7 linked regions of the Macaca mulatta genome follow. The protein of the gene in region 5 interacts with the protein of the main gene of each other region in a pairwise test. Links are inferred from orthologs where the notes say so. Each region holds a gene or a part of one and is shown on either strand. Other genes may lie near its edges. The genes, in order: LMO4, CEP95, C8H8orf34, LENG1, MTUS2, CCDC116 and ZC2HC1C.

Region 1 (4,470 bases), on a different chromosome or scaffold from region 5:
ACCTGATTCTCCTTCAGGTTCCTTTCCTCAATCTAGCAGTAATATGAAAACTTGCCCCACAAGGCTGGTTTTACTTAATGATACTTAGCAGAAGGGCTTTGCACTTTCATGATAATTTCCACCACAAAAATCTCTCTGGAACTTACTAACAATAATCAGGCCTAATATTAGCCTCAGTTTGGAGATTTATTAAACTTATTTGGCAGAGTAGATAAAGTCGAACGCCTAGGTATGCAAGCATCTAGGCTGTGCTTCGGCCTTGGAAAAACTCAGGCCAGCACCCTAAAAGCATTCCTCAAAACTTGATTTATACTAGAAGTGACATTTCTTACTCTCTAGAGGCTGTGAGATTGCAAATCTCGCAATTACTTCCATTGCTTTTGGGGGCTGTGAGAATTTCCGCCTCTCATCCTCCACAGTGAGGAGGGTAGTCGGGCAAGGTTTTCTCCCTGAAGTTTTCGTCAACTTTGAAAATAAGGACTGTGCTCCCTACATCACCAGCAATTGACAAGGATCCAAGAAATGCCTGCTAGGCACTTTCACACTCGGGTAAATGGGGGATGAGGGAGGCTAAGTAGGCAGTATTTAGCTAGCAACTATTATTTCCTTTATGTTTCTACCTTGTTAACTAAGCTTCCACTACGGTTCATAAATCTCCAATATCGTGAATTAAAGAAACAACAACAAAAACCCTCTTCTGTGTGCGTGTGCGTGAGGGGATAGAAGTTCACTGCCCTAAGATGCAGGACTTATCTTCCCAAACAGGAAGATACCCATTTCTGAGAAAGATGGTAAGTTTCCTAAGGGTCTCCTCTCAGATCGAGGGGATGGCAGTCCCCGAGGAGCGAGCGGGAGCGGGTCCTCAGGGTCCCCGTGCGCAGAGAAGGCAGGTGAGGCCCCCCCGCCCCACCGGGTCTCGGCTCCGGATCCCGGGTCGCGAAGGTCAGCCCAAGCGGGTCCCCGGCGCCAGGCGCCAAGCGGGTCACTTCTCCCCACCTGATTCGGGCCCTTCCCTTCTCCTCTGTCGGCCCGCTCCGCCGCCTCACTCTCTCCCCCGCCCCCCGAGTCTCGTTTCAGTCATCCCTTTGTCCTTCCCCGGATTGGCAGGTTTTATTATTCCGCCTGAACAATCCGGCCGCCCAGTGGCTGAGGGTCGCTGACGTCGGAGGCAGAGCCGGGGAGTAGTTGGGATTTTGCTCTGTCAGTAACACATGTGTAAGAGCCGCGGAGGGAGCGAGCGAGCCGGCTAGAGGCCAGCGCCGCCGCCGCCGCCGCCGCCGCCGCCTCCTCCGCCTCCGCCTCCGCGCCGGGCAGCAGCAGCCCCGGCAACAGTCCCGGCAGCGGCGTAGGCTCCAGCGCGTCGGGCCCGGCCGGCCGCAGCTCCCGACTCCTGGGCGCGCCTGCCTGCCGGCCTCCGCACCGTCCGCCGCCGCTCCCCGGGTTTCTGTGTCTGCGGCTGCTCCCGGGCGGAGGTGCAGGGAGCTCAGTCGAGCCGCCGCTGCCAGCCCGGAGCGAGCGAGCGAGCTAGCGAGCGCGCGGGAGGGAGGAAGGCGGCGGCGGAGGAGGAGGAGCGGGAGGAGCGCGAGGAGCGCGGGCGGGGGCGGGGGCCGCCGGGCGGGGGAATATACAAAGTGAAGCCACATTGCCAAACTTGCAGCAGCGATTGCAGCAGTTGCTGCCGCTGCACCGCGCCTGAAGCCGCGTCGCGCGGGCCGAGGGCTCCTGCAGCTGCTCGCGCGCAGCCGGAGGCGGAGGAGAAGGACGAAGACTGAGACTGACACTTCTGCTCCCGGCCGCCTGCCACTTACGCGGGGGCCCCCCAACCCGCCCCAGAGCAACGCGATTTAAAAAAAAAAAGCCGCCCTTAGCCCCCTCCTCCCCTTTCCTGCTTCTGCGAGAACTCCCTCCCTCCCTCCAGCTCCGCCAGCCCAGGCGCCCCTTCCCTGGAAGCCGAGCGGCTTCGTTCGCATTTCACCGCCGCCGCCTCTTGCAATATTGCAATATAGGGGAAAAGCAGGTAAGGGGGCGGCTGGGGGAGCCGCGGGCCGGGAGGTGGGAGAGAGAGGGAGGGGGCCGATTCGGGCCAGGGCTGTTTTCTTTGGCTTCCTTCCCCTTACCGTCCCAAATTGCAAGTAAACAATACGTCGCCTTAGATAAAGCGCGAGTCTGAAACTACCGAGGCCGGCCTGCGAGCTAGCGCGGAGGGCAGCCCCGGGCCGCCAGCTTTGTAGCGGTTCCTGCTTACAAAAGGGCTCTTCTTGGAAACGGGGCTGGTGGGGACCGTAGAGGGGGTGGGATATTTCTAGTTCATGAGGGAAAGGGCAAGGGGTGCTTAGATGAGGTTTTAAGTATGAGAAGTAGTGTGTTTGGGGGGGTGGGGGTGGGGATAGTCACGATAACCCCCCCCTTCTAGTAAACACTAATTTTGAAACAGTGGCAGGAAGGGTCTAAGTGAGCAGGATTCGGTATTGCTAGTTCTTTTTAAAACCTCTTGGTTTATAAGTCTTTTGTTACAATCCAGGAGAAATACGGTGAATCACCTAATTAAAATCAAGACATGAATTAAGCATCCATTTTTGTACTACAAATTGCCAGCGTTACGTTTGTCCCTCCCTTGGTCTCCATTAAAAAACACCAGAGACGTTATTAAAGGGGGGCAGATTTTGCCTCTAGCTGCCAGTTCTGCTTTCTATTTCACTGACTATCCCAGGACCTAAATTGCTTGGCTATGTAATTACTAGAGTATAAGCCTATTTAACTTAAAAGCTTTCTTCTTCTTTTTTTTTTTTTTTCCAACTCTAAATGAAACTTGATGAGGGCCCGTCCTTAGTTATCAGGGGAGTCAGTTTCTGGTCAGTCCTCTTGATTCATCTCTTTTAGATTTAATCAGCATTAAGGTATTGCTTGTCCTTAAGAGCTTTAGCTAATGGGGTTACTGGATGCTTTTCTCAGTGTAATGTTTCCTTTTCAAAAAAAAAAAAATACATATATATTTACCTCTCACTAAAGATGGGGGCGGGGAAGAGCTGGGAATCTCCTCCCTCTCTCCTTTTAAAAAGGAATTCGGAGCGATTAAAACGTTGGGGGAAACAGTTTAAAGACCTAGGGCAGGAAATGCAGATTCATTTGGGTTAGGGCTGAAATTGTAACAAAAAGCAATTCCTCGAGTAAATGCATCAGATAAATCAATTTACATAAAGGTATGATGCATTCGGATAAATGCAATGCTAATGGGTTTTAGAGTGGTCCTGTTTCCAAAGTCTCAGGGTTTTGTTACAGCTTAATTGGTGCAGTTCTTATTCTGGTTTATTGTGCGGTCACTGGACACACGTTCCGGGACTCTTTCGGAGGAAATGTGTTTAAAATCGGCCTATTTAAGGAACCCGAGTCCCTGTTTCGTTCGTTCCTTCCTCGTTTTTTTGCAGCAGCCAAGTTGGGCCGGGGACAGGCAAAGTTCGCCTTCTTCTGAGGTATCAGCTGAATGTCTTGAGCAGATAGCCGGGAGCCTCAGGGGGAGCCCACACTCTCAGCTTACAGAGGACAAAGACAAAACAGGCTGCTTAATTGGCAGTAAATAACTTGATCTTTTTATAGAATAAGTGACTAGAGGAACACTAGGACTTTATTGGACTCGGAATTGAAGGCAACAAATTAATCGGTTTAGGCTAAGCTTTATAAATTGATTCCTATATTATATCCCAGTTGCATCTCTTGTGGCATTCATTAGAGTGGGGAATTCTTTTTTAAAGCAGTTTTTGGTGACAGCAGAACGGGCTCGAATTTAACTTGTGCATCCCTTAATGCTGCCTTCTCGCACGTTATCTGTAACGCCGACCCCCCCCCCCTTTGGAGGAACAAAGCTTTAGCATTTAAATTGCTGATCAAGGGCAGATTAGTGAGACCAAAGTGGAGAGTGTTTGTATAGGAAGTTAACAGGCATCCTAAAGTTCAATGATCTATTATTCTTGCCTGTGTCCTGAAAACCCAGAGAAAACACTCATTGATCTTCAAAATGAAATGAGATTTGGAACAATAATGGGAGATGGCGGTCACCACAATGGCATGTGAAAGGTGCTGCTTAAAATACGAAAAACCAGTTTCGCAACTTTACACACTGCACCCCCTCTGCCGTCACCTTGCCTTCCCTCCCACCACCACGCTCTCCATCTTCCGTCTGCCGGTCCCTCCCTCCTTCCCTTTCGGAAAACCGAACTATTTCCAACTTGTGAACTCCTGCTGCACTTCCCAGGGCAGAGCCCGGGAGGGAACGAGGCTCCGGCGGGGCCGTCGCCTCACCACTCCCCTCGACTCTGTCCCGGGGCCCGGCGGGGGCTGGGGAGGGGCCGGGCACGGCGGTGGGTGGGTTTGACCCTCATTTGCTGCAGGCGGGCGGCGGAGGAGGGGGGCAGTGGGCGGAGGCGGGGGCTGGGAGGAGGCGCCGCGAGGGGTGGAGCGCGCGGCGGAGCCTGC
Region 2 (3,786 bases), on a different chromosome or scaffold from region 5:
GTATTTAATTAGGCAAAAACTAAGGAAATTAGACAATATCTGACAAAGGAGTGAAGATGAAATGGGGTCACCTACAGACTCTTATGTAGGTGTTTCAGTTATTAGTGTTTTTCCCCCCCATAGCAAAGTACCATCTGCAGTTCCTGAGATCTTTCTGGAACTGTTTAGTATTATAGTTCTCATGGCTTATCTCTACTCCACACTCAGGCAAAGATTTTCAAATCTCTTCCTTTGGCAGATTGTTTCTGACCTCCATCCTCTCCCTTCATAATTCTCTAAGTACAATTTCTCATCAAAATTGTAACGGAGGCTGATAAATCCCGGAGCTCTCTACTTGGGACCTGAGGATGGGAGATGGCAAACAGCACTAAGTTCAGCCACTTGGCACCTAGACGGATCCATGGAGGTCCACAGACAGAACTGGATTAAAATCTCAGCTGTGTCCCTCGCTTATCAGTGAGACCCAGGGCAAGTTACTTAATATCTCAAAGCTTCAGGGTTTTCATTTCATAGAAAACATCTCTAATATATTACTATAAAGACTAACTGCAACTGTGTACATAAAGTACCTAGCTCTTCCCCTGCCCATTCTGGGTTTGTTTTATTGTTGTTGAGACAGGGTCTCACTTTGGCATGCAGGCTGGAGTGCAGTGGCAAGATCACAGCTCACTGCAGCCTTGCCCTCCCACGCTTCCCACTTCTGCCTCCCAAGTAGCTGGGACCACAGGCAAATGCCACCATGCCAGGCTCATTTTTTCCATACCCATATATATATTTTTTAAGACAGGGTCCCACTATGTTGCTGAGGCTGGTCTCAAGTGATCCTCTCACCTCAGCCTCCCAAAGTGCTGGGATTACAGGCATGGGCTATCAATTTTGGTTAAAGACCTAAGCAACACTTCCACATGCAGGTGTTAGAGGTGAAGGGTCTGTGGGACTGTTGCCCAGCTAGCACACATAAAGGGAATGAATATAACAAATTCAAAATTATAATACCCAACTTGCTCTTGACATACCAGTCTCTTGTTATGTTCATACTCTTTCCTGACAAGGGTAGTAAGGAGGTCATGCCTTCTTAGGGCTTCTTCTATCTTGAAGGGGGACACGAAATCAAGTAGGTTAATAATGCTGTTCACTCAATTCTCAAGGATAAGCTCTTCTCTCATTTAAATTTCTATGCTTAAGACTGACAGTAACTTACTTCATCTTGCAGTTTCTTCTTTGATCGATTTTCTCTACATGCCTCTTTCTTAAGCTGTTCAACCTGTGCAATTTGCTGTTTCCACATTTTGCTTAGTGTTGGGCCAGAAACATAGAGAAATGGAAACTGCTCCAGCATAAGGGGCAGGAGACTGTGTTCACTTACTTTCACTGCAAGGTAAAAGAAGATGTTCTTAATCTGAGACTTGTGGACAAGAACTGTCATCCAACATCCCTGGTAGATCAAAGCTTATGTAAGTGATGTGGTTTTGATTCTGTAAAGAACAATTCTAAATGTACTTATAATAATTTGCATTCCTCCTCTGATTGGAGTAAGCCAACTACTGATAAGGATAAAAATACATTCTGACTGATGCCATGCTGGTCCTGGGAAGTCCATCCTAATTGCTCAGCTGCTTCAGTGCCTGCGGGTAGATTCTCTACGTATGGTAAAATAGAAGACTCCTCAACCCTCCTGGTAGGCAAGTGCTTAGAAGAAACGTTTCTGGTCTAAAGGATATAGTAGGAGGGCCAGCAATCTTTGGGGTATAACAGGAAGCCTGGCATTTCTCATGGCTTTGTTTCCTTGTAACAAGACTCTACACTCATTGGCACTGTCAATATACAGGAGGTGGACAGGTCATCTGCTTGCCTTGGAGCATCCCCTTCATTCTACCAACTTCCCAGAAACAGACAAAAAGGCATCCAAAGTGAGTAAGCACAGGAGTGAGGCTAATGGTGGCGCAGCAGGTGGCAGTCCTGGCATTCCTTGGGTGCCAATATATAGGCCTCCCTAAGGTACTTCCTTATTGAAGAGTTTTGGCAGTGGAAAGAAAAAAAAAACAACTTTCTTCAGCTAACTGGTGGATGTTAGCTTTCAGTGCTGTGTCCCTGGAATGCTGCACTCGCTTTCAAAGGCTGCCAGTTTTCCATAAAGTACAATTCTGTGGTTCTTACTTGGAACTGCTTTGTTTGGCTTTGGGAGGCCACCTCTTGGACTCTGAGTTGTGGTTTTTCTAGAGTAAATCTTCCAGGGCTGACTACATTCTGGAGTTTCTTTAAGAACAGCTTCTCCTCTGTATATTTTTTCCTTAGAAGCAGATACAAAACAATAAAAATAAAAGGTCTAATAGTTCTTTCATGCATCATCTTAAATATTACATATTGACAAAAATAGCTAACTACTTCCCACCTTACTTCAAATTTGTAAAATCTGGTTAATAATTCACTCACTCTAAACTAAAGGCATCTTTTGGCCTCTGGCATCCCTTGGAATTTGAAAAAGCACTGAATCTTTTTCAAGTTTCAGTCACCATAGTCCCACACCCTAAATACAACCACTATTATTAATTTTTTTTTTTAACCTATTAATGTTTCGATGTACTTCTCTTTTTCCATGTAGATTTAAAAAAATTCTCAAGCAACTATGCAGTATGCTTAGTTGTAACCATACTGTACTTTATATCCTGTTTTGTTCACTAATATTTTAGCATAAGCATTTTCCCCATGATTTCATTTCGTTTCTGTAACCATTCTTTTGAAAGGCAATGAAAACTTCAGTTTTGAGTTTCTTACAACCAGGTCTAGAGCAACTAGGATGTTCTGTCTTCTCTTACTCTTCTTTAATTTTGTCAGCCTAGACTAGTTTTTAAGACCTTGAACTGCTAAGTCAAATACCCTTATAAAAACTGATGGTAAGTTTTAAGTAGGGGAAAAAAACGCTAGTTTTCTTTGGTACCACGTCTTGTCATATTTTAGCAACCTGAATGCCTTATTAAGAAGTAAAAGTCCTGTATCATGACATGAAATCCTGCCTTTTCCTAAAGAGCTCATGATTAAGGCCCTGTTGGCCCCTTCTTCTTTTAAAAAGATCATCTTTGTACTTCCCCCTCATCTGATCAAATGGCATTTATTACAGTGTAGACTTTTACCCACTGTTTCCTCCTCCTTCTCATGTATTCTTAGAGGTCCAATATTCTCTTGAACTTTATGTCTTCTTAGTTCCCTTTCAAATGCTTCAGTAAATGCCTATAGGGGAAAAGGTCATATGATAGTACAGTTGTTAAAAACATATATAACGGGCAGCACCATGGCTTAGCTGGGTAAAGCACCCGTCTAGTAAACAGGAGATCCAGGGTTTGAATCCCAGCGGTGCCTCAACTGAGCATCCAAGCTTAGTCGCATGCAGTGAGGCTGAGCCAGGTGGATCACCTGAGGTTGGGAGTTCAAGACCAGCCTGACCAACATGGAGAAACCCCATCTCTACTAAAAATACAAAATTAGCTGGGCGTGGTGGTGCATGCCTGTAATCTCAGCTACTCAGGAAGCTGAGGCAGGAGAATCACTTGTACCCGGGAAGCAGAGGTTGAGGTAAGCCGAGATCACACCACTGCACTCCAGCCTGGGCAACAAGAGTGAAACTCCGCCTTGAGAAAAAAAAAAAAAAAAAAATCCTGCCACCGCGCCCAGCTAACTTTTTTTTTTTGTATTTTTAGTAGAGACGGTGTTTCACCGTGATCTCAATCTCCTGACCTTGTGATCTGCCCACCTTGGCCTCCCAAAGGGTTGGGATTACAGGCATGAGCC
Region 3 (4,524 bases), on a different chromosome or scaffold from region 5:
ACTGAAAGAAGCCTGTGTCAGCTCCCACTGACTCAACACAACAAAGCATAGATGACGAGACATGGAGTTGCCAATTTCAATTTGTGAGTGGTAAATGGAGATTTTAGTTCAGTTTCTCAAAACGTGGCCCAGAAATTAAAATTGTAGCAAACATTTTTGCTGCTTCTTAATACGTTCAGATTGCTGGGCGCCTCCTCTGACCCAAATCAATTCTTGTGAAAACTATTGAGTAAGGTCCTAGAAGAGAACTGTCCCTAGGTAAACAATGTCCATTTCACAGGTGGCATTTCTTCACTGGTTTTCTAACATGAAACAAGATAGGCTACATGCTAGTAAAATCCTCCAATTTTGTGAAATACATATAATTGTACTCTCAAAATCAAGCTCTATCGTAATCAAAATTGTTGCATAAGGAACTGTGTTACATCCGGCTTTTAGTAAAAGAGAATTTATTATCCATTTTTCTCCCTTCAATTATTTAAAGTGAACATCAAACCTTAAAAACGCACTCCTCACCACTGCAATCTAAGCTAATGCCAGTGTATGTCATACATATTCAATAAAATATGAAGCATGGTGGTGCTTGTTTTCTGGTGATTGGACCTAAAGCTTTTATGAGACATGTTGCTGTCACTTAAAATTCTTCAGCGCAGAACTTGCTGGTGAGTATTAAAGGATGGGGGTTAGGGGGTACTTGATAAATATCCATTTGAGTTTATTTTCTAATTCTGTAGAAAGTTTACATATATTCCTAATTTTGTTGTTATCACTTGGAAAGAATCTTGAGGATTTTAGAATAACAAATGAAAACAGTATTTATTAAAAACAATTCGTTTATTCTGTCAGGCTAATTGTACTTTATACTCTACGAGTGTAGAGAGCAAACACACATTCTAAATGTATTTATTTTATGATTCTTTTGATGCAATTAATACACCGCGTTGCAGAAGGTTTATGCTTCTGCCTTTTAAAAATTATATAGGATTATGTATAATCAATAATCATTAAACTAAAGGCAAAGAAATCTGGTAGCTCCATCAATTTTATTTCGCTCTTGCATGGATTGCCTTTGTTCACATTTTTGGCAGAAAAAAGAATCAAAGCAATTGTAAGACTCTGCACCCCACAATGTGAGCTTCACTTGAAACAATGGTCCTATCGTCCAAGACAGATCATCGGTAAAGTTCGGCAGAAAAACTTGGGAGATCTTGCAAATCTTGTTATGTGAAGCCAGTCCTCCCAAAAGACCTATTCGACCACACCTTTGTCCTCCTCGTCCTTTTTTTGCAGGGTCATTAACTCGCATTATTTTTTTGTTCTCCGCAGTTCTCACTTGCTTTTCTTCAGTCTTTGCTAGGTTCTCCGCGATCTCCAATGCAGCCTCTTCCACTAGCCGCGATTCTGCCTCTCTCAGACGCTGACACGTAACCTCCCCCGATCCCCACCCCAAGCCCTCACCCAAGACCAAGAACAGCTACAACTGCTTCTGGGAGACGTGGGGGGCGGGGGCAAGGCGGGAGCACCTCGCCCCTCCCGCTAACTCTCGCCGCCGGTCAGTACCCCCTGAACTGGATGGGACCATGGGAGTCTCTCCCCAAGGGCCTCCACTTCTGACCACGGACCGCACGCCCCACCCCTGCCCAGCACCCTGGCAACCCCCGGGACGCTTTGCTGGTGCCAAGCTTCAATCTCTTGTTCTCATTTTCTCGTGTCCTCCCGCTCTTTCTTCTACTGTATTTTTGTCAATTCTTTAATGGCGAGGAAAAAAAAAAAAACACCAGCTCAGAGCTATAGTCTCCTTCCATAAATACGTGTGTGCTTTTCAGAACCTTTCTCTGTCCCTTTCTCCTGCTAACACATGTGGGGTCTGCAGTGCAAAGGCCTCTCCTTTCGTCCAGTGACCAATGGCAGTCTCTCAGTTTGCCAGTTTCATTCATCACGCCCGCACCTACTGAAGCCTACTCCTCACCAGTTCAGCTTTCTTCCAGTTAATCGTATTAACTGCTAAGCACCTCCTCCGCCTTTTCGGGTTTTATTACCGCCCTCATTAAAAAAAAAAAAAAAAAAAAGAAAGAAAGAAAAGAAAAAGAAAAAAGAAAAAAGAAAATCCAACACGAACACGCAAGACAGCGTGAATTCAAGAAAGAAAGTGTGTATGTGCAACACCGTCTGAGTGTGTGCATCCGTATGCATCGCCTGCCTCAGCCTGCCCGGGTACTGAACATGTGGCTGAGAGGTGCACGACAGTCAGAGGGCTCAAACTTCCGCTGCCAGGCTGAGGCTGGGCCCTCCCAAGCTCACCTGTCTGTGTTCAGGTAACTGGCTAAGTGCCCGCCCGGCCGCGTTCCAGGACACCTGGCCGGGACAGAGCGAATGCCAGTGAACCCCTGGGCGCCCCCTCCCGCGCGTTCGTTTTCTAGCCCTCCTTCCCTGGGAGGGGTGGGGTGGGGGGTGTTCTGTTTTCATTACTGCACCCCTTCCCCTAAAGACAACGGGACTACCCTCCTCCACAGCGCCTTACCTCAAACAGGGGACCGATCTTGTTCTTCTCCAGGTAAGCCTGGATCCGGGTTTGCGGATGAGACGCCATGGGGAGCAGATGGGACCGCGGAGAGAGTGCGGGGAGAACGCGCGGCTGTGCGCCTCCGCTGGGGACAACCCTCCTTTTACCCGGACTGGGGCCGGGACAGGAGCTCCGGAGCCTCGGCTGCCCTGCGTGGCTGGCTTGGCCCCGGCCGCGGCCGTGAGTGGCAGCCCGGGGAGCCACGCGCGCGTGGGGCGCTGAGAGCCGGAAGCCTGGGCGCAGCGCCGCCAACTCAGACAACTCCGAGGCTAGGGGAGAACTCATTCATCGCGTTCTCCGCCTCGCGTCCACCCTCGCCGCTAGCCGCAGCGCCCGGCGCAGTGGGGAAATTCGAGGCAGAGGTTCCTTTCTCCTCTGGGCGGCAGCAGCAGGAATCAGGGGGCGGGAGGCGAGCCGTGCCGAGGGGCGCACGCGGGCGGACAGGGGACGCGGGGCTCGAACTCGCCGCCAGCGTCTGTGCGTGCGTGTGTGTGTGTCCGTGCGCGCGCGACTGTGTGTGCCTGCTCTCCCAGGTGACGGGAACAAACAGCCCGGGCTTCTTCCCGAGGCTGCTCGCTCTACCAGCCGCTCCCTAGCGACAGCGCCGCTTAAAAAGCCAATGGTGAAGGTGCTTCTTTCAAAGTGCACATAAATCTGGTGCTTGTTGGCTACTCCTTGGCAGCTACAAATGCAGTTCTAAAGGCGATCGTCCCCACCGCCCCTTCTGAGCCTCTCCTCAGCACCTTCTGCCCTGCCTACACTAGCGCAGGGGTTGAGAAGGCCAGAGTTGTGAGAAAGTGCGTGGGTTCAAGGGTTTGCCGCGAAAAAAGAAGTTGCCTTCGTTTTCAAAATCTGGCTTGGCCTGGAGCAAGTCGACGGGTGAATGCAGCCTGAGAACCCAGCTGAAAACTCCCAAAGTGCGGGCGCTCAAAGGCTGGAACCAGCCCTTCAGCATTTGACAGGGAGAAGAGAAATGAGCGAGCCAGCCCTCCCCTCCGAAGTTGGCCTTACTAATCCACTCCTTGAGTCATGTCTGTATACCTATAACTGCATCTTAGACGCCACACTATCCCACTTAACAATGTTTCCTCTAGATACTGCATGAGCTGCTCGAATTTAGCCAATACCTTTCTTATTATGCAGGGATTTCAGAGTCGAAGATTTGCAGATAGCCCAGGCTTCCTCACAGAGCTCTCTTTCTTGTGAAACACAACACTGAGGTCCCAATGACGATTTCCCTGGCTCCTAATCATGATATGCTGCCAAAATTAGATTTATTTTTAATAAATATGATGTTCAGAATGATGGAAATAGTTTTCCTAAAAGCTGACTGCAGCAGTATATATTTTCTTTCTTTCTTCACTGTGTTCTCAATTTCTGTTACTCATAGTTTCTTTATTGGTGTTCATGCTTTCCTTCTGTATTTTAAATATGTGGAAACATGTAATAGTTAGATAATAGTGGAATATCCCAGGAACTATTGTTAATTTCCTATATTAAGATATAAGAAATCTGCTAGAATAGCTAGGAGCTTAACCATCCCTGATAACCTGAAATGGACATGATCCAGGGTGGAAAGATGTCCACATTAATACTTTTAAATTGGACTCATATGATCTGCCTAGGGAGAGTTAAATTAAACAACAGTGAGGTGCCCAGGGTTGCCTTGTGCTTTCCATTGTGGTTCGAAGGTATATTTACTTACGTATTTTTTTTTTTTTTTTTTTTTTTTTTTTTGAGACGGAGTCTCACGCTGTTGCCCAGGCTGGAGTGCAGTGGCGCGATCTCGGCTCACTGCAAGCTCCGCCTCCCGGGTTCCCGCCATTCTCCTGCCTCAGCCTCCTGAGTAGCTGGGACTACAGGCGCCCGCCACCGCGCCCGGCTAATTTTTTGTATTTTTAGTAGAGACGGGGTTTCACTGTGGTCTCGATCTCCTGACCTTGTGATCCGCCCGCCTCGGC
Region 4 (4,283 bases), on a different chromosome or scaffold from region 5:
CTGGGGCTGGGCCAGGAGGGGGCCCCCCTCGCTCTGGGGGTAGCTGGTACCAAGGGGGTTGAGTCTGTGCCTCCGCTGCACTCTGGCCCAGGTACGTCAGGATGCCCAGAGCTTTCTCTTGCCTCTCCTGAGGGGGCCAGGAAATACAAGAGATGGGATATAATCTTTCAAGGTGTCAGGTGTGTCTCCCTGACATAGGAATCTAAGCAAACAGGTACCTAAGGCTTGTCATGAACCAGTTGTACCAGGTGCTGGGGATGGAAGACACCAACAGAGGCCAAGTTCCCCGTGGGGGGACAGTGGCAGGTAACAGCAGGGGAAGGAGGGGACAAGTGGAGCCACTTGAGTGTTCAGAGGCAGGCATCTTTGCAGAGAGACTTGAAGAGAAGCCTGAAGGGATCAAGCAAAGCAGAGGAGCCATGGGTGGGGTCAGCAAGTCCAGAGACAGCAGGTGAGTGACAAGAGCTCATGTACCTGTTTTTTTTTGAGATGCAGTCTCGCTCTGTTGCCCAGGCTCGAGTGTAGTGGCACCATCTCGGCTCACTGCAACCTCTGCCTCCCAGGTTCAAGCAATCCTCCTGCCTCAGCCCCCCTAGTAGCTGGGATTACAGGCACGCACCACCATGCCCGGCTAATTTTTGTATTTTTAGTACAGACGGGGTTTTGCCATGTTTGGCCAGGCTGGTCTTGAACTCCTGACCTCAGGTGATCCATCCACCTTGGCCTCCCAATGTGCTGGGATTACAGGTGTGAGCCACCATGCACGACCAGACATACTTTTTACACTTGATCTTAGCCAAAAGGCAAGAGGCGAATGATTCGCCTTTTTTTTTTTTTCTCTTTTTTTTTTTGAGATGGGGTCTCGCTCTGTCACCTGGGCTGGAGTGCAGTGGCGCAATCTCAGCTCACTGCAACTTCCACCTCCCAGGTCAAGCGATTCTCCTGCTTCAGCCTCCAAGTAGCTGGATTACAGGCGTGCACCACCACACTTGGCTTATTTTTTTGTATTTTTAGAGATACCATGTTGACCAGGCTGGTCTTGAACTCCTGACCTCAGGTGATCCACCCGCCTCAGCCTCCCAAAGTGCTGGGATTACAGGCATGAGCCACAGCTGGCTGATTTACATTTTTAAAAGCCTATCAAGGTTTCAGACCCCTCCAGTTTTGAGAACTGAGCAGTTTGCCTAGCAGCTGGGGACCTCTAGCATCTACCTCCAAGCCCTGTGGGTGCCCAGATGGCAACACTTCTTAAGTGTCATGCTTTGGTATGGTTCTAAATTCTGTGTGTTCGTTCTCGTTTGACCTTGATCACAAGCAGTGGCTAAAGTGCCCTCTCCCCCCAACTCGATTCATGGCTCCTCTAATGAAGTGGGTGAGGCCAGCTTACTTTCTCCTGTCGCTTTTCTTCCTCGTACTCTTTATTGCCTCTGATCACTCCTTTCCCTTCCTCCAGCAGCTCCCGAAACAGGTCCACAGGGCCAGAACTTGGGGCTCCCGCCTCTGCTGCTTCAAGCTCAGGCAGTGAGTTCTGATGTCTGGCTTTCTTTCGTAGGAATTCTGTACGGGCCTGGGGAGAAAGTTATAGGCAGGGCATTCAGAACCTAGAGGTGATTCAAGAACTGTGAGTCTGGTGCCCACCACAGAAAATGGCAGTCCAGGGTGCTGGGGTTATAAGAAAGGGAGCACTAGACGCCTAAAAGAGGCACCTGTCCTAGCTGCGGGTGAGGGTAGGCAGATGAGGCAACGCCTGGGTTTTGTAAACTGCCTTTCAAATCGTAAACCACGGGTCATCAAGGATGGCTGGAAGGAGGTCCCTGGCCTAAACCAAAGGGGTTCCTAACCTCAAGTGAGACAATTAAAACAGCCATAAAGGTAGACCAAACTGCATTAGGCCAGACGATCTGAATTCTAGCCATGGCTCCAAGTCACTACCCCAAGTCGACTGCTGAAGCCCTGTCCCCCGCCTTCGGGACGCAGATTTCAAACAGCGCTCAGCAGCCTACTGAGATTCTAAAAACCCAGACTACCTCCCACCCACTGTGGAGGATCAGACTAGCTAAGGAACTGAAAGTTGGGTGTACACCAAACAGATTTAAGGAGCCATACAGAAAGCCCGTGTTTGTGTGTATGTGTCTAGGGGGCGGTGCAGGAAAGGGCTCGCCCGATGGCGTGGAGCCTGGCTGTCCCCCTCTCCTTAAATGTGCCTTCCCCTCACTGAAGCCATCTCACTCCGTGCAACGGAGATGACAGTGCCCCTCTAAGAACGAACAGTGCCTCCTGGGGATTCCGCAAGTCAGGCGCTCTGCATGTAGTTAGCATACAATAGGTGCTCAATAAATAAACTGCGCAGGCAAACTAAAACGTGATCCGAATTTCCTTGAACTGTCCAAGCGCTCATGTATTCATTAAATGTTTTTAAGCTGCTCTTTTGTGCTAGACACTGTTCCAGCCATGTGAAATACATCAGTGGGGGGAAACTAAGACGAAGGCGAGATCAAGGGAGGTTTCGTGGAAGTGGCCACAAGGTTTGCAGAGCAACGTCCTCGAAAACGGGATCGGCGCCTGGTCCCGAATTTCACACGGGGCACACTGAGCCTGCGCAACGCCTCCGCTTCCGGCCCCCAACCGCGGCGCGTGCGCGCTGGGCTCCGGCGGTCAGCCCGGCCGGCCTCCGAGCTTACCTCTTGCTGAGCCAGCAGCGCCCTCCGCTCACGCTCCTTCTCCTCCTCCCGGGCCTGGGCCTCGTCACGCCGCACGCGGGCGACATTGTCCTTATTCCGGACGTGCCAGCTCTTCTTGGGCAAGATATTCATGGCGTCGTAGCTGTCCAGGGACTGGCACGCCCGCCTCTTTGCACTTCCGATTGGCGAGAGGATGCCCCCCTTCCTCTTGTCCCTACTTCGACCGCAGATTGGTTCCGAATTAGTTGGTACGGCCCCCTGGCCTGTAACGACAGGTGATTGGCTGAGACGTCCTTTTCACAGCGAATGTTAGGCGTTCGGCTCGTGGTATCCCCTAGCAACCGCCTCTTATCACAGATCTGAACCAATCATAAGTTGGCCCGCCCCGATGCTACCACATGCGGCCGTCGATTGGTCGACATGACCGTCAAGTCTCCTTGCGGAAGTGCGCTCCGCACCGACAAACATGCCCATACATTTGATTGGCTCCTGCCCTGCGGTAGCCCTGCCCCCACCTTCAGGACGCAGATTTCAAAGCGCGCTCAGCAACCTCGGCTGTATTTATTGATACAAGAAAGATCACCCGAGAGTCAGGGACGTGGCGGCGAGGGGCCCTGGAAATCTCCAGATATCAAAGCTGGAAGGGCGTGGAGTCTTCTCCAGTTCTCCTAGTTTACAGATGTTGTGACCTAGGCTTACAATGGGCCTGGGGTCTGAAAGTGGGGCGTGAGCTGCGGGGGTCAAAGAGCCGGTTCGGTGGAGGTCAGCGCCACAGCGCGCCGTGCCAGGAAGACTTTATTCTGCGCCTCCTGCGGCAAAGAGAGGTGGAGGTGTGACAGCCCTCTTCCCCAGCCCCTCTCCGTGTTCCCCGGGGGCCCTCTCAGGGACCCGCCTGGCTCACCGTCTCCCTCTGACGTTTGAGCTCAGAGATGAGGCGTCCGTAGGAGTTAGCCCGAGCCACAGTGTACGCCATCAGGATGCTGGAGGAGACAGGAACGGAAGCCACTCCTGACACGCTCTTCGAAGTCAGGGATGTGGACCCCTAAGTCCCTCCTCGTCCAGGCTCAAGGAGTTCAGTCTCCCAGCACCTCCGCGTTCAGATCCAGGAGTCCTAAGTCCCGCCCACCTCCTCCTTCGGACCCAGCAGTCCAGGAGCCTAGGCCTCCTCCCTCAGACTCAGTACATTGCCTGCTCCCACCCCCAAGCCTTTCCTCTCTTGGACGCAGGTGGTGGCCCCCAGATCACACGCATTCAAACCCAGACCCAGAAGTCTGGTCCACCTCACCTGGAGATCAGCAGAAGGGGCGCAGCAAAAGCCTGGGTCCCCAGGAAGAAGAGGAAGTTCTGGGTGGTCTCAGGGAGGCTGGAAATAGACTCAGGGATCTGGGCCCAGATGGACGACTGCCCCCGGAATGGACCACACGGCTTAGAAGGCGGGATCCTGAAGTCAAGACAGGCTGGGTTCAAGTAGAGCCAGGAGTCTGAACACTGAATGGGGGGAGAGGGAGGGAGAGAGGCGGGAACCTCTCGCACTTACAGGAAGATGCTGTAAAGCAGGGGAACGCTGGAGATGGCCAGACCCAGGAGAAGAACCAAGGGGAA
Region 5 (3,786 bases):
CATTAGCTGGGTGTGCTGGTGCGCACCTGTAGTCCCAGCTACTTGGGAGGCTGAGATGGGAGGATCCCTTGGATCCCTTGAGCCTGGGAGGTGGAGGTTCCAGTGAGCCGAGATCGTACCATTGCACTCCAGCCTGGGCAACAGAGTGAGACCCTGTCTCTCTCTCTCTCTTTCTCTCTCCTTCTCTCTTTTTTTTTTTTTTGTGTGTGTATCTGTATATCTATATACTTTTTTAGAAGAGTTAATGGGAGACCCTAGTTTCTGTGTTTTGATATTATAGAAATGGTGCTGGGCAAAGAGCTTTGGACTGGTCTGCATGAGTGAGACATGACGGGTGAAGCTCTCCTTGGGCATCAGCGGTCCTTTGCCAGCCTGTGGTCCTGAGAGTCATGGCCGGAGCTGAGTGGGGCAGGGTCAGTGCAGGTGCATCTGCGCTGGGAGCTGGGGAAGGGGTGCAGTGTCTCCATAGACACCCTTATATTCCTTCAACCTGCAGGTGGAGAGTGGCCAGCGGCCTGCCTAACTGGCAGGCATGGGAAGGCTAAGGGCTGGGAGCGCCAGTCTGGCCACGGGGCGGGTCTGAGCAGGGAGGAGGAGACTGTGTGGAGTTGGCTTACGTGGCAGCTCCTATCAAGGACATGCAACCCAGTCCTGAGGCCGGGAAGGCTGTGTGGGAGCCAGAGTGAAGCGGGAGTGAGAGGGAGCTGGCTGGAGGAAGGCACTGGCAGCAGGAGAGCTGGCACAAGAGGAAAGGGAGGCAGCGAGGCTGGGAGGACGCTGTGTTAGGGAGTGTGCACTGCAGCTTGAGGGCAGTGGGGTAGGAGAGAGGAGAAGGACAGGTTCCGGTTTGCACGTTAGAAAGAGTGCCTCACTACAGTGTGAGGGCAAAGGAGTGATCATTCAGAAAAAAACAGGAACCGTCTCAGAAAGTAGCCAGCAGAGTGGCCGGAGCTCAGGGGAGTCTGTGGGTTCTAGGGACATTCAGGATGGCAGGACTTGATTATGGACTTCGTGATGAGAAGGTTTGGTGATGTGGGAGGGGTCCCAAGGGAGAGAAGGAAGTCAAGGAGGGCTTGAAGGGTTCTGGATTGAGCTTCCTAAATGAGAATACATCTTTGAAATACGTTCATCGTGGTCCTTCCCAAAGCCAGGGGCTGGGTGCCTCCTGGACAAGAGGCGCCTCTGAGGATTCTCTCTGAGGATTGTCTGCCTCTGTGGGATCAGAGGTTGTGAAACGCCCCCGGCTCACTGTGCTTTTGTGGTCTCTTCCTGACAAAGCACCAAGGAGGAGTGAGCTGAGGGCAGACGCGGGGGGACACCCTCCTCCATTGTGTGGCTATGGGGGTTCCCCTTTGGCATCTCTTTCTCCAGCCCCCAGGGAAACACTCTGAGGGTGCTCAGGGCACAGTGGTGGCCCACTGATCACAGCTGCCCAGGCTGTGGTGGCTGCTGTCTGTAGTGGCCCCAGCTGGACTCCTTGTATCATTACTTGCAGGACCAGGTGGACACGCTGACCTTCCAGAGCCAGTCTCTGCGGGACAGAGCCCGCCGCTTCGAAGAGGCCTTGAGGAGGAACACAGAGGAGCAGCTGGAGGTAGTGTCTGGATTCCAGGCTTCCAGCCCCGCAGGGACCCCGCCCCAGCGAGGCCAGCGGGGCTCCCTCAGCAGTCCAGTCCCGAGACAAGGCCTCTCTGTGAATCCACTGCTGAAGTGACAGCTGGTCACGGCCTCCCCTGGATTTTTAAACAATTGCTGTCAGCACCTCTCCCCTGAGACAGACAGCAGCTGTGGGTTTCTCCAGCGACGTGTTATTTTTGCCAAATTCCGCAGCATTCCCCAGCTGGAGTCCCAGGGCTCCTGTGATAAGCATGGTCTGGAAACCCCCACCCTGGCCCGGCCACCCCTTCCAGCCCGTTCCCCCGGCCCGGCCACCCCTTGCGGCCCGTTCCCCCGGCCCGGCCACCCCTTCCAGCCCGTTCTCCCGCAACTTTTTAGGCTGACGTGGGGCAGCCTTGGCTGCAGCATGCGTTAACAGGTTGAGGGGAATTTTTTCCAGAAAAGCTGGCAAAGTTCCTTCCCTCTAATGTAGGGTTGCCAAATAAAATACAGGACACCCAGTTAAATTTGAATTACAGATAAATTTTTGAGTATAAGTCTGTCCCATGCAATACTTATACTGAATTTTTTAAAATGTCATTTATCTGAATTTGGATTTAACAGGACCTACTGTATTTTAATTTGTTACATCCAGCAGCACTACCCCAACGTGACTTTTGTCTAAAATGGCTTTTCTGCTTCTTAAACCACTTGACTCATTTCCTATGCATGGGCTCTTTACGGGCATAGGTGAGACCTGTAAGAGTCCCAGCTACCTCGTGAATCAAGTCTTCCGGGTGAATGTTAAAAGCCAGTGTTGGGTTTACTCTTTCTACCCCATGAGCTCCCTGCTAGGCATAGGCTGGCAGCACCCAGCAGTTCTGGAGTCAGACTTTCCAGTTCACGATGGCCGTGTCTCACCTGCTCCCCCATAGAACTGGATTTTAGGAGGCTTCTCAGTGGGAAACTTTATCAGGGAAGGCTGTAGCATCCTCTCTCTTTGGTGTCGCAGTTGCCATCAGGGCGCTTGTCCCAGGAGGATGGATTTAGCTGGATTCGTGGTATTGGTTAATACTGGGTTTTGTCGGGAGCCCTGGTCAACAGCTCATGGCTCTCTGCCCCTGTAGATTGCATTGGCTCCTTATCAGCACTTGGAAGAAGACATGAAGAGTCTGAAGCAGGTATTAGAGATGAAGAATCAGCAAATACATGAGCAGGAAAAGAAGATTCTCGAGCTGGAAAAGCTGGTGAGTTGGTCCGTTTGCTCGCGAGAGTAACTAACCTCCATGACATTCCTGCTGTCATCACTGAGGTCATCGTTGACACTGAGGTGTTCAGCCAGGTGTGTCTGTTACCTGCCCATTGCTTACACCTATGCAGAAAATCCCACCGCAGGCCTTTCCCAGGAAGCCAGGAGCTCTCATAAGGAATCTTGGAGGTGGCCTTATCTTGTCCAACTCTGGAGCCTTTCTGATGGGTGGCCTCTTTCTGCTTTGCGCTGGTTTTCCCACAGTCCTGCTGTCTCCTTGCCCTCTCTTGGGGACGTGTGGTGACCCAGCACAATGCAGCATCCCCAGTGCCCAGGCACTGCACGGAGCACTTTCCCCGAGCCTGCTCCTAACTCCTACAGCTGCCTGTGGAGGAGCTGCCGCCCCCAGCCGCTTTACAGATGCGGAGATGGAGCTAGGAGTCCTGGCCCAGTGCTTCGGGTCCTCACAAGGCAGTAGGGGCCAGGGATCTCCCTGGGGCCCTTTTTATAAGGGTATTAATCCCGTTCACAGGGGCTCACCCTCAGGACCTAATCCCCTCCCCACAGCTCTGCCTCCTAATACCATCACTTTGGGGTTAGGTTTCAGCATAGGAATTTTCAGGGACACAAACATTCAGTCCAGAACAGAGTCCTTGCTCTCACCCACACTCGTCCACCTCAGCCCACCAGCCTGGCTCCTGCAGAGCTAGTAAAGGGGAGCACAGAACACCCAGGATTTCACACAAGCCCCTGGCCAGGGCTAGAGTCCCAGAAAGGTGTGCAAAGGGAATGGAGGAGAAGCCTCCTTCCAAGGGCAGCCCATCTTGATCTGGAAGTTGGCCCCAGGATCTCAGATTCTTATTTTTTCCCTTTATTATTGTTACTTTAAAAATAAACTTCTGATACTATCAAAAGGAAATATGTGTACTCTGGAAAATTAT
Region 6 (4,511 bases), on a different chromosome or scaffold from region 5:
ACTAGACCTAGGAGGCAAGGCCCCGGCCAGGCTAGTGCTTCTGTCCACAAGGGACGGGACCCTCCACTCCCACATAGGAGCGTCTCTAGATTCACATAGAAACGTTAGCAAAAATACCCAGCATAAATAAATAGCCTTTATTTATCTGTGACAACACCTGGTAGTAGCTAGGCCAGGATTCACGGGCCCCCATCAGCTTGACCCCTGCCCAGGAGGTTTCCACAGTGCAGGGCAAGAAACCTTGACCTTGAGCACCTGCCAGTGATAGTGGCTGCTAGGAGTGGCGGGTCAAGGAGCCTTTCTCCTGCAAACTCATGTCCGGTCCTACCTTCGAGGAGGTCACCTCTGGACACAGTGAGGAGGGAGATGAGGAAGCAACTGGGGAGAGCTCAGGGAGAAGGTAGCAGGAAGAGCGGGGGTAGGGGCAGGCAAGTGGAGGTGTGACAACCCTGAGGTGGCCCTGGCCGCAGGCCACCTCCACCACTATCCCGGGCGCGGGCAGGGTGAGGTGCAGGCCCCGCCAGGGCTGGGCCCTCTGTCTGGAGCTCAGGGAAACAGGTGGGTTTTGTAATTTGGGATCTGAGTCAGGCTCCTTCTCCCTGGAGTGGAGTGAGGGGCTGGGGACATCGGGCTTCTCCATGGGTGTCACCTTGAGCTTGAATCTGGTGGCCACCTGGGCACTAGACATGGAGGGGGAGCCTCCTCTGTCCTTGTGTTTTCTCTGAGGCGTCTTGGGGCTGGAGACTGTGGGGTGGGGCTGCCCGCTGTTGGTGGGTTTAGCCGGCTCAGAGCCCAGCGGCGGCAGATTGCGTTGAACCTGCAGCTCTGAGGGGGGCTCCAAGCTGGTGGGGAACAGAGGACGGCCGTCGCGGCAGCGGGCGCCGCGGAGCTTATCCACAGCCTGGTTGACGACGCTCTGCAGGGCAGGGAAGAGGCGGTGGTCAGCCAGGAAGTTCAGTGTGCGATGGGGCTCACGGAGCGGACAGTAGCCAGGCAGGTCGAGGGACTCCAGCTGGCTCAGTAACGACTTGATCTCTTTATTGAACTCTCGTTTGCAGATCGGCTCCTGTTCTCCAGGCCTCGGCTCTGATGCTTCAGGCACACCAGAGCTTGAGCCCAGCAGCTCCGAGAACCAGGACAGGGGCTGCTCCTGGGTCCACTGAAAGCTGGTCTGGCTGCCCAGCAAATCCCACAGCAGGGAGTCCCTCTTGGAGCAGGACTGACTGAGGCCTTTCTGCAGAAAGAGGGTGACTCTGAGAAGTGTTCAGGAGCAGCCAAGCCAGGGCTGACCCTGGCCCTGGGCTCTCCGTGGGAGTCCACCCCACCCAGCCATGGCCCCGGCTCTCACCCCTTTCTTCTCCAGCTGTAGCAGCCGCTTGAGATTCTTCTCCAGCAGGAGTTTGTCCTTCACAGGTGGCAGTGAGCCTAAACCTTGGGCACCTAGGTCACTGTCCCGGCTGTGGGAGCCCAGCCAGCCAGCCATGAGGCTGCTATGGGAGTCGGACATGGAGCTGGAGCTGGATGGGTAGTTGTTGGGGTGTCCAGTGCAGAGGGTCGGCCGTACACGGTGCCGGTGTACAGTGCTGAGGCTGGGCCGGGCATGTGCCCGCCGCCCACCACTTGGCACCTCCACTGGGTCCTGCACCTCCACAAGCGGCACCCCAGCCTCGGTCTTCATGGCAGCCATGCGCTCAGTCGCCTTCTCCACCACTGTCTCCAGGCTGTCCAGGACATGGCTCTCAGTCAGGAAATCCAGAAAGTGGCTAAAGGGCTGAGGGTGCCTCTTGTTTCGGCGTTGGTTCTGGAGCGCTGAGCTGCCACATGTGGATGGTGGGTGTGGCACATGGCCCGGCTTGGAGGCTGGCCCCATCTCTGGAACCAGTGGCTTCTTGGGTAGCTGCACCTGAGCAGACAGGTATGTCACAGTGGGCATGGGTGCCCTACAGGTGAAGGGCTCCCTGGGGTCTTCCTAGGGTAACACTAGGACCTGAGTGAGAGTGAGTAGTGGAAGGAGCTGCATTTTGAAGTCTGGAGGCCCTGGATTTGGACCCTGGCTCTGCCACCTACAGCCTGATGACAGTGTGCAAGATGGCCCCTCTTGAGGTCCAATTTCCTTATCTGCAAAGTGGAGGTCTATTCAGGGTCGCCCTGAAGCTTTCCTAACACCTACATTTCACACACACAAGTCCTGGCTAAGGGACTTAGCCTGCTTCTGCCCTGATACATGGCAGGATGAGCAATCATGAACCTCTTGGAGTCTCCCTCCAGCTCCTCATCTGTCCATGCAGCAGGCCATCCCTGTCTCCATGGCAGGGCTGCAAACAACACCTGAGGTCTTGAGTGCAGACAATAGCTGAGGTCTTGAGCCCTGTGCTACCCAGGGCTGTTTCTCCAACTTGAGCCCTAGGCACCTAGTCAACTCCCAGTTCCCACTCTAGGGTCCCAGTTCACCCAAGCACCTTCCAGGTCGCTGGAAGTCAGAAGGAAACAAGGAATGAAATTGAGTGTGACAGGGGCAAGCAGGGGAGTCATAGGAGAAGTCAAGGCAATAAGGACTCAGCTAAGAGGCCCACAGAGCAGGTCAATAGACAATGAGAAATGGGGGCTGTGGTCTTGGGTGTCAGGGTTGGCGGGGAACATGTTGTGGCCTTAAGGGTCGGGGTCCTGCTGGGCACACTTACTCGTGCACTGCACATGGAGTGGCTGGCCTCATCGTCAGCCACGTAGCCCGAGTGGTGGCGGCACCTGGCCATGTGGTCACCTGGCAGGTGACCGAGCCTGCTGCCCACCTCTCTCTTCAGCTGCGCATTCCTCTCTGCGCGGGCTGGGGAGACAACGTGAGGGTCTCCAATAGGTCCACACATCTGTGGCCCTGGAATCTGCGGTTCCCTTGCTGCCCGCACCCCGTGTCCTTCATGCATCCAGCCCTTCCTCTGCTCCATGGCCCTCATGCGTCTGCAGGCAGGCAGTTCCCAGAGTCATCGGGATGGAATCGCCGAGGACCATCCTGTCTCCGATCATCTTTGGATCTGCGTGTGCTTAACCCTCCCTACTCCCAAACCCTGGGCAACCTGGCTTTCGCCCCAGCCCGGAATCAACGGACTCACCAGAAACACCGCCTTGCTCCGCGCAGGCCAGTACAGTCTGCGCCCTCACTGGGGCAGCTATACAGTGCGAGGAAGTCGACTGGCGGCCTCCACTTGCTTATTTGCATACCACATCCTCATTGGTTCTTACCGAGGAGCTCATCCACTACCCTCTCCGACACAATAGTTGGGGGCGGGGCCCACATTGGCCCAACCTCCAATTCTCTGGACTCTGCTCTCCCACACTCGTCTGGGAGCCGCAGGGTGAAGATGTTGGTGTCTACGTCCCCGCTGCCGGGAGGACCCCCACCCACCACCGAAGCTGGGGCTAGGCTCTATGATCCGCTCCTGCCCCGAGGGGAGTCTAAAAGCCAAAGCCACGTCTTCCACCGGTGATACAAGCACCTTCCTCGTGTCCTACCTGGTCGCTGCGCAGCCCTGGGCCTCCTGCTCCTGTTCCTTTCCAGGGGCCTCTGCCCCTCCCGCGGTGTGCACAGCCCCAGGTTCTACCTTGAGACTTCTCCCCTCTGCAGTGGAGAGAGTGCTGGCTCTCAGTCACAGACCTAGCTTCAGTTCCTGGCTCTGCTCTTTCCTGCCAATGTGACTCAGCCTCTCTTAGCATTGGTCCTGCACTCTAAATGGGCTTGAGTGTTCTTCCAATATGGGAATATGGGATTCAATACAATCTCCCTACAACACACCCCGTATCCCAGTGAAGCCTTGAATATTCTTACCTCCTCTCCCTCCCTCCTTTTCTCTTTTGCTCAGTAATACCCCACCACAGTGTCACTTCTTCCAAAAAGCTTTTACTGTGAATTCTGCCACTCCGTACACGATTCACAGTAAACCCCATTCCAGACTCCACCATACCATGTTGCTACTTATGTGTCTACCAGATGGTGCTCCTTTGGGGCCAGAACTGAGGCAAGTCACCCTGAATCTTTAATACTTTCAGTGTCTGGCACCAAGTAGGTGCTCAATAAATGTCAGTCTCCTCCTTCCCATCTGCGCACCCTCGGGACCTCTGACCTTTCCAAGATCAGCTTCCAGTGGAGAATGGTGGTTGGTTGAGGTCTGACAATTCACCAGTCACTATAAACACAACAGTCGTTATGCCAAGAGCATGGTTGAAGGACTCTATGAGGCTTTCAATCCTCACATACCTCATGAAATATTGTTACTCTCGAGTTCTGCTCTGTCCTCTCAGCTCTGGCTACCCACTAGGTCAGGGACAGAGAGGACAAAGCAGGTCTGGGTGCAGGCCCTGAGCTGTGAGGTTCAGTCTTATCTCCACTACTCCTGGCAGGACCACACTTTCGCTCTCTGACCCCCCGTTTCCTAATCTGTGAAACAGGAATGACATTACCAATTTCATAGTCTGGACACAAATACCATGGGAAAAATCAAGACTGCCACGTTGCAGTG
Region 7 (4,487 bases), on a different chromosome or scaffold from region 5:
CTGCATTTTTTTTCTTTCGATTTTTTGTGTCTTTTAAATTTTCTACAGTAAACTTTTATTACTTTTATAATCCAAAGGACACAAATTCTTGGTCTAGATTTTTTAGTCATTCTAACCAAGATTTATATGCTGACTCTGCCACTTAAAGCTGTTTGTGACCTCAAGCAAGTTACTTAGCCTGTCCAAGTCTTGATTTTTGAACTGATAAAATGAGAGATAAATGCGAGGATCACATGCAAAGCTCCCATCACAATGCTGGCATACAGTAGTAATCAAGAAATGTTAATTCTAGACGTCAATTCTTCCTACATGACACATGAATTTTCCCTAAAGAAAACTGATGATGACAAAACAGACCCCTACAATGATCCCCACACCAAGTCACATCCATAAGGCTCTTGTTACCTTGGCTGAAGCTGGCCCCTTCCAGTTCAAGTATTGCTCTAGTTCTGTGCCCTTAGCCCGGGCCCTGGAGGAGTCAAACACTTTCCTCTTGGAACCCTGTATCCTGCTGCAGATGTTGGAGTGTCTCTCCAGCCTGAACAAGAGGAATTTTCGCCCACAGTGGCTGCACTCACCCAGCTGTGGCTCTTCAGTGGAGCCGCTGGAACCTGAGGAGTCTGGTGCCATGGACAGGCTGGAATTTCTGGCAGATCCCTGCAAAGCACCGCCTGGTGTTTCTGAAGGCGGGGAGAACTTCTCCATCGACGGCTCTGAGACTCGGTCTCGAATTTTGTTATTGCTTGCTACCAGCCTTTCCCTTTTGAGTCTCTGAATTCTATAATCAGAGAGCTGGAATGGACTCGAATTTTGTTGAGACCGTTCCCAAGTTTCATCCTCTCTCCTGTCTCTACTAAATTCTTCCTCAAAATCAAATTCTGGGGAGAAGACAGCTTTGTGCGTGGTGTTGCTGTTATTACCTTTAACTCTGCTCCTGGGGAATATAATTTTCTGTAGCTCTCTGTTTTCATTTTCCTTGGCCTGCTCCTTTTGCGTCTGGATCCTTCTGAGTTCCTCCTCTGTCTTCTTCAGCTTTCCCCTCAGGAGAATCTGCTTTCTTCGGATTTCCTCCTCTAAGCTCTCCCCTGCAGCTTCTAGTCTTCGGATCTGCACCCACTCCATCCTGTCCAAGTTTGCCAAGGCCTTCTCCGCCTGCATGGCAGCAAGAACAGGATCAACCACAGAAAAGTTGACCTGGTTCCTCACATCAAAGTTCCTGGATGAAAACTCTCTCAGTTCAGGGGGCCTTGGGTAGACATTCTGGTCCCCATCAGTGCCAGACTCACCTGTACTGCACGACTTCCTGTGGACCACGGGTTTCAGTGGGTACGCCCGGTCCACTCCAACTCGTTTCTTTGTAAAGGGGATAAAGTCCTGGTTATTGGCTTTGGGATACCAGGATTGAGGGCCTGATGAGTAAATTTGTTTTACTTGGCCCTGGAAATCACTTCCTGCATCTTGGTGGCTGATTCCAGTACAGTGGGGATAGGAGTAGCTCCGGGCTTTTGTGTTCCATTTGGGGTGAGTGTGGACTTTATCCAGAGTCAACTCTTTGTTGCTCAAAAGCTGCTTCTGGAAATTGTTCCTCAGGTGCCCCTTCAAGGACTGCTGGGAAGAGTCACTTTGTTCGTAAGAGTCTTGCTTGGCTGAGTGGGGCCCTGGAGCTTCTGTTGTATTATGTGGAAGCATAACGCCCACAGGCAGATGTGATGCCAACCGCTGGAGACCAGCCATTCAGGGCCTGGACTGATGCCTACGGGAGATTTAAACCAGATACATGCGAAGAGTTTGTCTGAGGTTCACTCTCGTCTGCTAAAGCAAACTATTTCTACATTTGCCCTGCCCACATTTCCTTAAACTTTTCTGGGGACAGTGGTGCTGGATCTGCCAAAGCTTCCCTTCAAAAACCATTTGGTGAGTGATTACTATGCACAAGACACTGTGTTAGGCCCTGAGGGTAGAGAAACGGAGGTGCTACAGGTGTTCCTGCCACCTAGCTCTCCTCTCCTCCAGCACCAGCCTCTGCCACGCACAGTATACTCTACAGTAAGTGGAAAGAGCATCGGATTGAAAGTCAGGTTTTAGGCCTGTAACAGGACAAGCGACTTCTCCCTTGCTGGCCCCCGTTTCTTCACCTGTAAACTGAAGGGTTCCGTCCGAGTCCATCCTCACCATTTTACAGGTGAGCAAGCTGTGGCCCAGAGGTAGTGACTGGCACAAAGAGCTCTCAGGGCTTCCCTCCTGCTGGAACCGTGCTTGATTCAAAAGAGCACAGAGGCTGCTAGGGCCTGGAGCAGGTGCCTGGCTGTCAAACCCTCATCTCAGGAGTCCCCGTGGCGCAGACGGTAAAAGTTTTGTAACCTGAGCGTTGAGGGCCACCTGACCTGGCTGCAGCCGGTTTTAGATCCTTAAGGCTGAAGTCACGTTCTGTCCCGAAGGGTCAACTGGGGCGCCCCCACTACGGACTCCGCCTCTGGGGACAAGTCCTCTCTCTCTCCTGCCCTTCGGGCCCTTAGGAGGTGCTGACCCTCTGTCTCCCCGCCCTTCTGCGTACCTGAGGCCCTCGGGCACCGCTCCTGCTCAGGGAAAACCCCAGGGCCTAGTTTCCCAGACCCGACCTCCCCCTCAACCGACGGCCGCGCAGGCGCTCTCAGCTAGCTTCTGTTATTCCCGGTGCCTGGAGACCGAGTTACTGGCGGGCCAAGCTCCGCCCCTCGCTGCGAACTCCTTGGGGAGGCGTGCGCAGGCGCAGTGCACCAGCGACCCGGGGCGACCGGGGGTGGGGGGTGCGGTCAGCCCGACCGTCACTTGACCCAGTCAGTGTCCGGCCAACTCTGCAGCCGGGTCCAGCCCTGCCCTTGGGGAGCCGAGGAAGGGCGGGAGAGGCTTTTCTGGGGCTCCATCAAAGAAGAACTTGTACTTTCCTGAGAACGATGCTCCCAGACCTTGGGGTGTGCCCTTCACTGGCAAAGGGCGGAGGCCCTGGCTGTGCCTCCGCGTGCTTCCGCCGCAGGGTGCAGGCGACCGCCTGCCTGGTGGGAGCGGGGCTGCTGCTGACCTTTCTCGGCGCGCTTGGCTGCGCTGGGCGGGCCCCAGGTATGGCTGCACGTGCGCGCTCCCTGCTTGTCGTCGCCAAGTCTTTGGAACTTGCTGCCAACGTTTTTGCTACGCAGTATCTTTCCGGGGTAATTTTTGTGGCCAATCTAATTATTTTGATATTATAATGTTTTACTCTCACGTGGTAACTCTAGCCGTCTGTACTTAGGGCGTAGGAATGACTCAGCCAAGTGTAATGATAATAAAGAACTACCAGATCGAAAATAATCAGTATAACCTGGTTTCAACAGTAAATGATACTCTGTAACTTGTTGACATCAAAAGAAAGTTTATTTTTTTTTCTTCGTTTCAGTTCATCTGTGTAGGACGTTGGGAACAGGCAGTTCGCTTTTTCCCTGTAACTACTCAATTCATGCACTTGGAAAATAATGTAGACAAGCAGTCATCAGTGTTAATACTTCAACATGTCATATTACAGCTGTTACCTGTTACAAAGAAATTCCTTGGTGGACCCTCCAGGTCAGTCCTTCTTTTTTTTTCTTTTCTTTTTCTTTTTTTTTTTTTTTTTTTAATTCCTCGTTTTCATCCCTTGTTGCCTGCACCACCTCTACATATATGCAGCTCCAGATGTTTGCCACTCTACTCAGGGTCCCAATTATCAACTCCCGCAGCTTCCCTCAGCAGAATGTACGGGCTTTCTCTTTCTCTCTCTCTCTCCTCTTCCTTCTCTCCCTTTCTTCTCTGTCTCTGTCTGTCTCTGTCTCTGTCTGTCTCTCTCCCTCTCTCCTTCCCTCTCCTCTATGAGAAAGAAGGGCCACTTTCCATGAGTTCTCTTGAATTAGTGCTTTTCAGTACCCTCCGGGAATTGACTCCATCACTTTACCCCAGCGTTTTGTTTTTGTTTTCTGTTTTGTTGGTTTTGAGGGTTTTTTAAAATTTGTTTGTTTTTTGAGACAGAATCTCACCCTGTTGCCCAGGCTGGAGTGCAGTGGCGCAATCTCAGCTCACTGCCACCTCCGCCTCCTGGGTTCAAGTGATTCTCCTGCCTCAGCCTCCCGAGTAGCTGAGATTACAGGCGTCTGCCACCACACCTGGCTAATTTTTTGTATTTTTAGTAGAGATGGAGTTTCACCATGTTAGCCAGGCTGGTCTTGAACTCGTGACCCCAGGTGATCCGCCTGCCTCAGCCTCCCACAGTGCTGGGATTACAAACATGAGCCACCACGCCCGGACTTTGTTTGTTTTGAGATAGGGTCTCACTCTGTGGCCCAGGCTGGAGTGCAGTGGCACAATCACTGCTCACTGCAGCCTCGACTTCCACAGCTCAAGCGATCCTCCCACTTCAGCCTCCTGAGTAGCTGGGACTACAGGTGTGTGCCCCTCACACCCAGCTTACTTTTTTTTTTTTTTTTTCCTATAGCAACAGGGTC

Evidence for each region.
Region 1: the proteins of MTUS2 (region 5) and LMO4 interact in binary tests that used the Homo sapiens proteins (3 or more experiments, as listed by UniProt). The link is inferred for Macaca mulatta from reciprocal best matches to the Homo sapiens genes MTUS2 and LMO4.
Region 2: the proteins of MTUS2 (region 5) and CEP95 interact in binary tests that used the Homo sapiens proteins (3 or more experiments, as listed by UniProt). The two-hybrid records come from large-scale screens. The link is inferred for Macaca mulatta from reciprocal best matches to the Homo sapiens genes MTUS2 and CEP95.
Region 3: the proteins of MTUS2 (region 5) and C8H8orf34 interact in a two-hybrid assay, tested with the Homo sapiens proteins (2 studies listed by BioGRID). The two-hybrid records come from large-scale screens. The link is inferred for Macaca mulatta from reciprocal best matches to the Homo sapiens genes MTUS2 and C8orf34.
Region 4: the proteins of MTUS2 (region 5) and LENG1 interact in binary tests that used the Homo sapiens proteins (3 or more experiments, as listed by UniProt). The two-hybrid records come from large-scale screens. The link is inferred for Macaca mulatta from reciprocal best matches to the Homo sapiens genes MTUS2 and LENG1.
Region 6: the proteins of MTUS2 (region 5) and CCDC116 interact in binary tests that used the Homo sapiens proteins (3 or more experiments, as listed by UniProt). The two-hybrid records come from large-scale screens. The link is inferred for Macaca mulatta from reciprocal best matches to the Homo sapiens genes MTUS2 and CCDC116.
Region 7: the proteins of MTUS2 (region 5) and ZC2HC1C interact in binary tests that used the Homo sapiens proteins (3 or more experiments, as listed by UniProt). The two-hybrid records come from large-scale screens. The link is inferred for Macaca mulatta from reciprocal best matches to the Homo sapiens genes MTUS2 and ZC2HC1C.

The regions. Positions count from the first base shown.
Region 1 is NC_133406.1:153,320,396-153,324,865, reverse strand, and holds the start of LMO4 (LIM domain transcription factor LMO4), read left to right. Parts: upstream 1-1,643; 5' UTR 1,644-2,017; exon of another isoform or gene 2,018-4,470. Other genes in the region: uncharacterized protein LOC144332728, read right to left, coding at 1,074-1,643. UniProt on the Homo sapiens protein: Transcription cofactor. Plays a role in establishing motor neuron identity, in concert with MNX1, acting, at least in part, to disrupt LDB1-LHX3 complexes thereby negatively modulating interneuron genes in motor neurons.
Region 2 is NC_133421.1:74,430,763-74,434,548, reverse strand, and holds part of CEP95 (centrosomal protein of 95 kDa), read right to left. Parts: intron 3,403-3,786; exon of another isoform or gene 3,229-3,402; coding exon 3,136-3,228; exon of another isoform or gene 2,540-3,135; intron 2,291-2,539; coding exon 2,158-2,290; intron 1,372-2,157; coding exon 1,202-1,371; intron 1,092-1,201; coding exon 1,017-1,091; intron 1-1,016.
Region 3 is NC_133413.1:78,994,523-78,999,046, reverse strand, and holds the start of C8H8orf34 (uncharacterized protein C8orf34 homolog), read right to left. Parts: upstream 2,907-4,524; 5' UTR 2,849-2,906; coding exon 2,522-2,848; intron 1-2,521.
Region 4 is NC_133424.1:66,391,252-66,395,534, forward strand, and holds the start of LENG1 (leukocyte receptor cluster member 1), read right to left. Parts: upstream 2,837-4,283; 5' UTR 2,814-2,836; coding exon 2,682-2,813; intron 1,568-2,681; coding exon 1,388-1,567; intron 128-1,387; coding exon 1-127. Other genes in the region: voltage-gated chloride channel TMC4, read right to left, coding at 3,422-3,490, 3,583-3,661, 3,967-4,122, 4,219-4,283.
Region 5 is NC_133422.1:9,392,732-9,396,517, forward strand, and holds part of MTUS2 (microtubule-associated tumor suppressor candidate 2), read left to right. Parts: intron 1-1,495; coding exon 1,496-1,594; intron 1,595-2,723; coding exon 2,724-2,843; intron 2,844-3,786. UniProt on the Homo sapiens protein: Binds microtubules. Together with MAPRE1 may target the microtubule depolymerase KIF2C to the plus-end of microtubules. May regulate the dynamics of microtubules at their growing distal tip.
Region 6 is NC_133415.1:31,361,869-31,366,379, forward strand, and holds the start of CCDC116 (coiled-coil domain-containing protein 116), read right to left. Parts: upstream 3,044-4,511; 5' UTR 2,952-3,043; coding exon 2,682-2,951; intron 1,904-2,681; coding exon 1,349-1,903; intron 1,235-1,348; coding exon 650-1,234; intron 1-649.
Region 7 is NC_133412.1:148,262,251-148,266,737, reverse strand, and holds the start of ZC2HC1C (zinc finger C2HC domain-containing protein 1C), read right to left. Parts: upstream 2,934-4,487; 5' UTR 2,555-2,933; exon of another isoform or gene 2,136-2,554; intron 1,754-2,135; 5' UTR 1,735-1,753; coding exon 406-1,734; intron 1-405. Other genes in the region: ACYP1 (acylphosphatase-1), read left to right, coding at 2,934-3,096.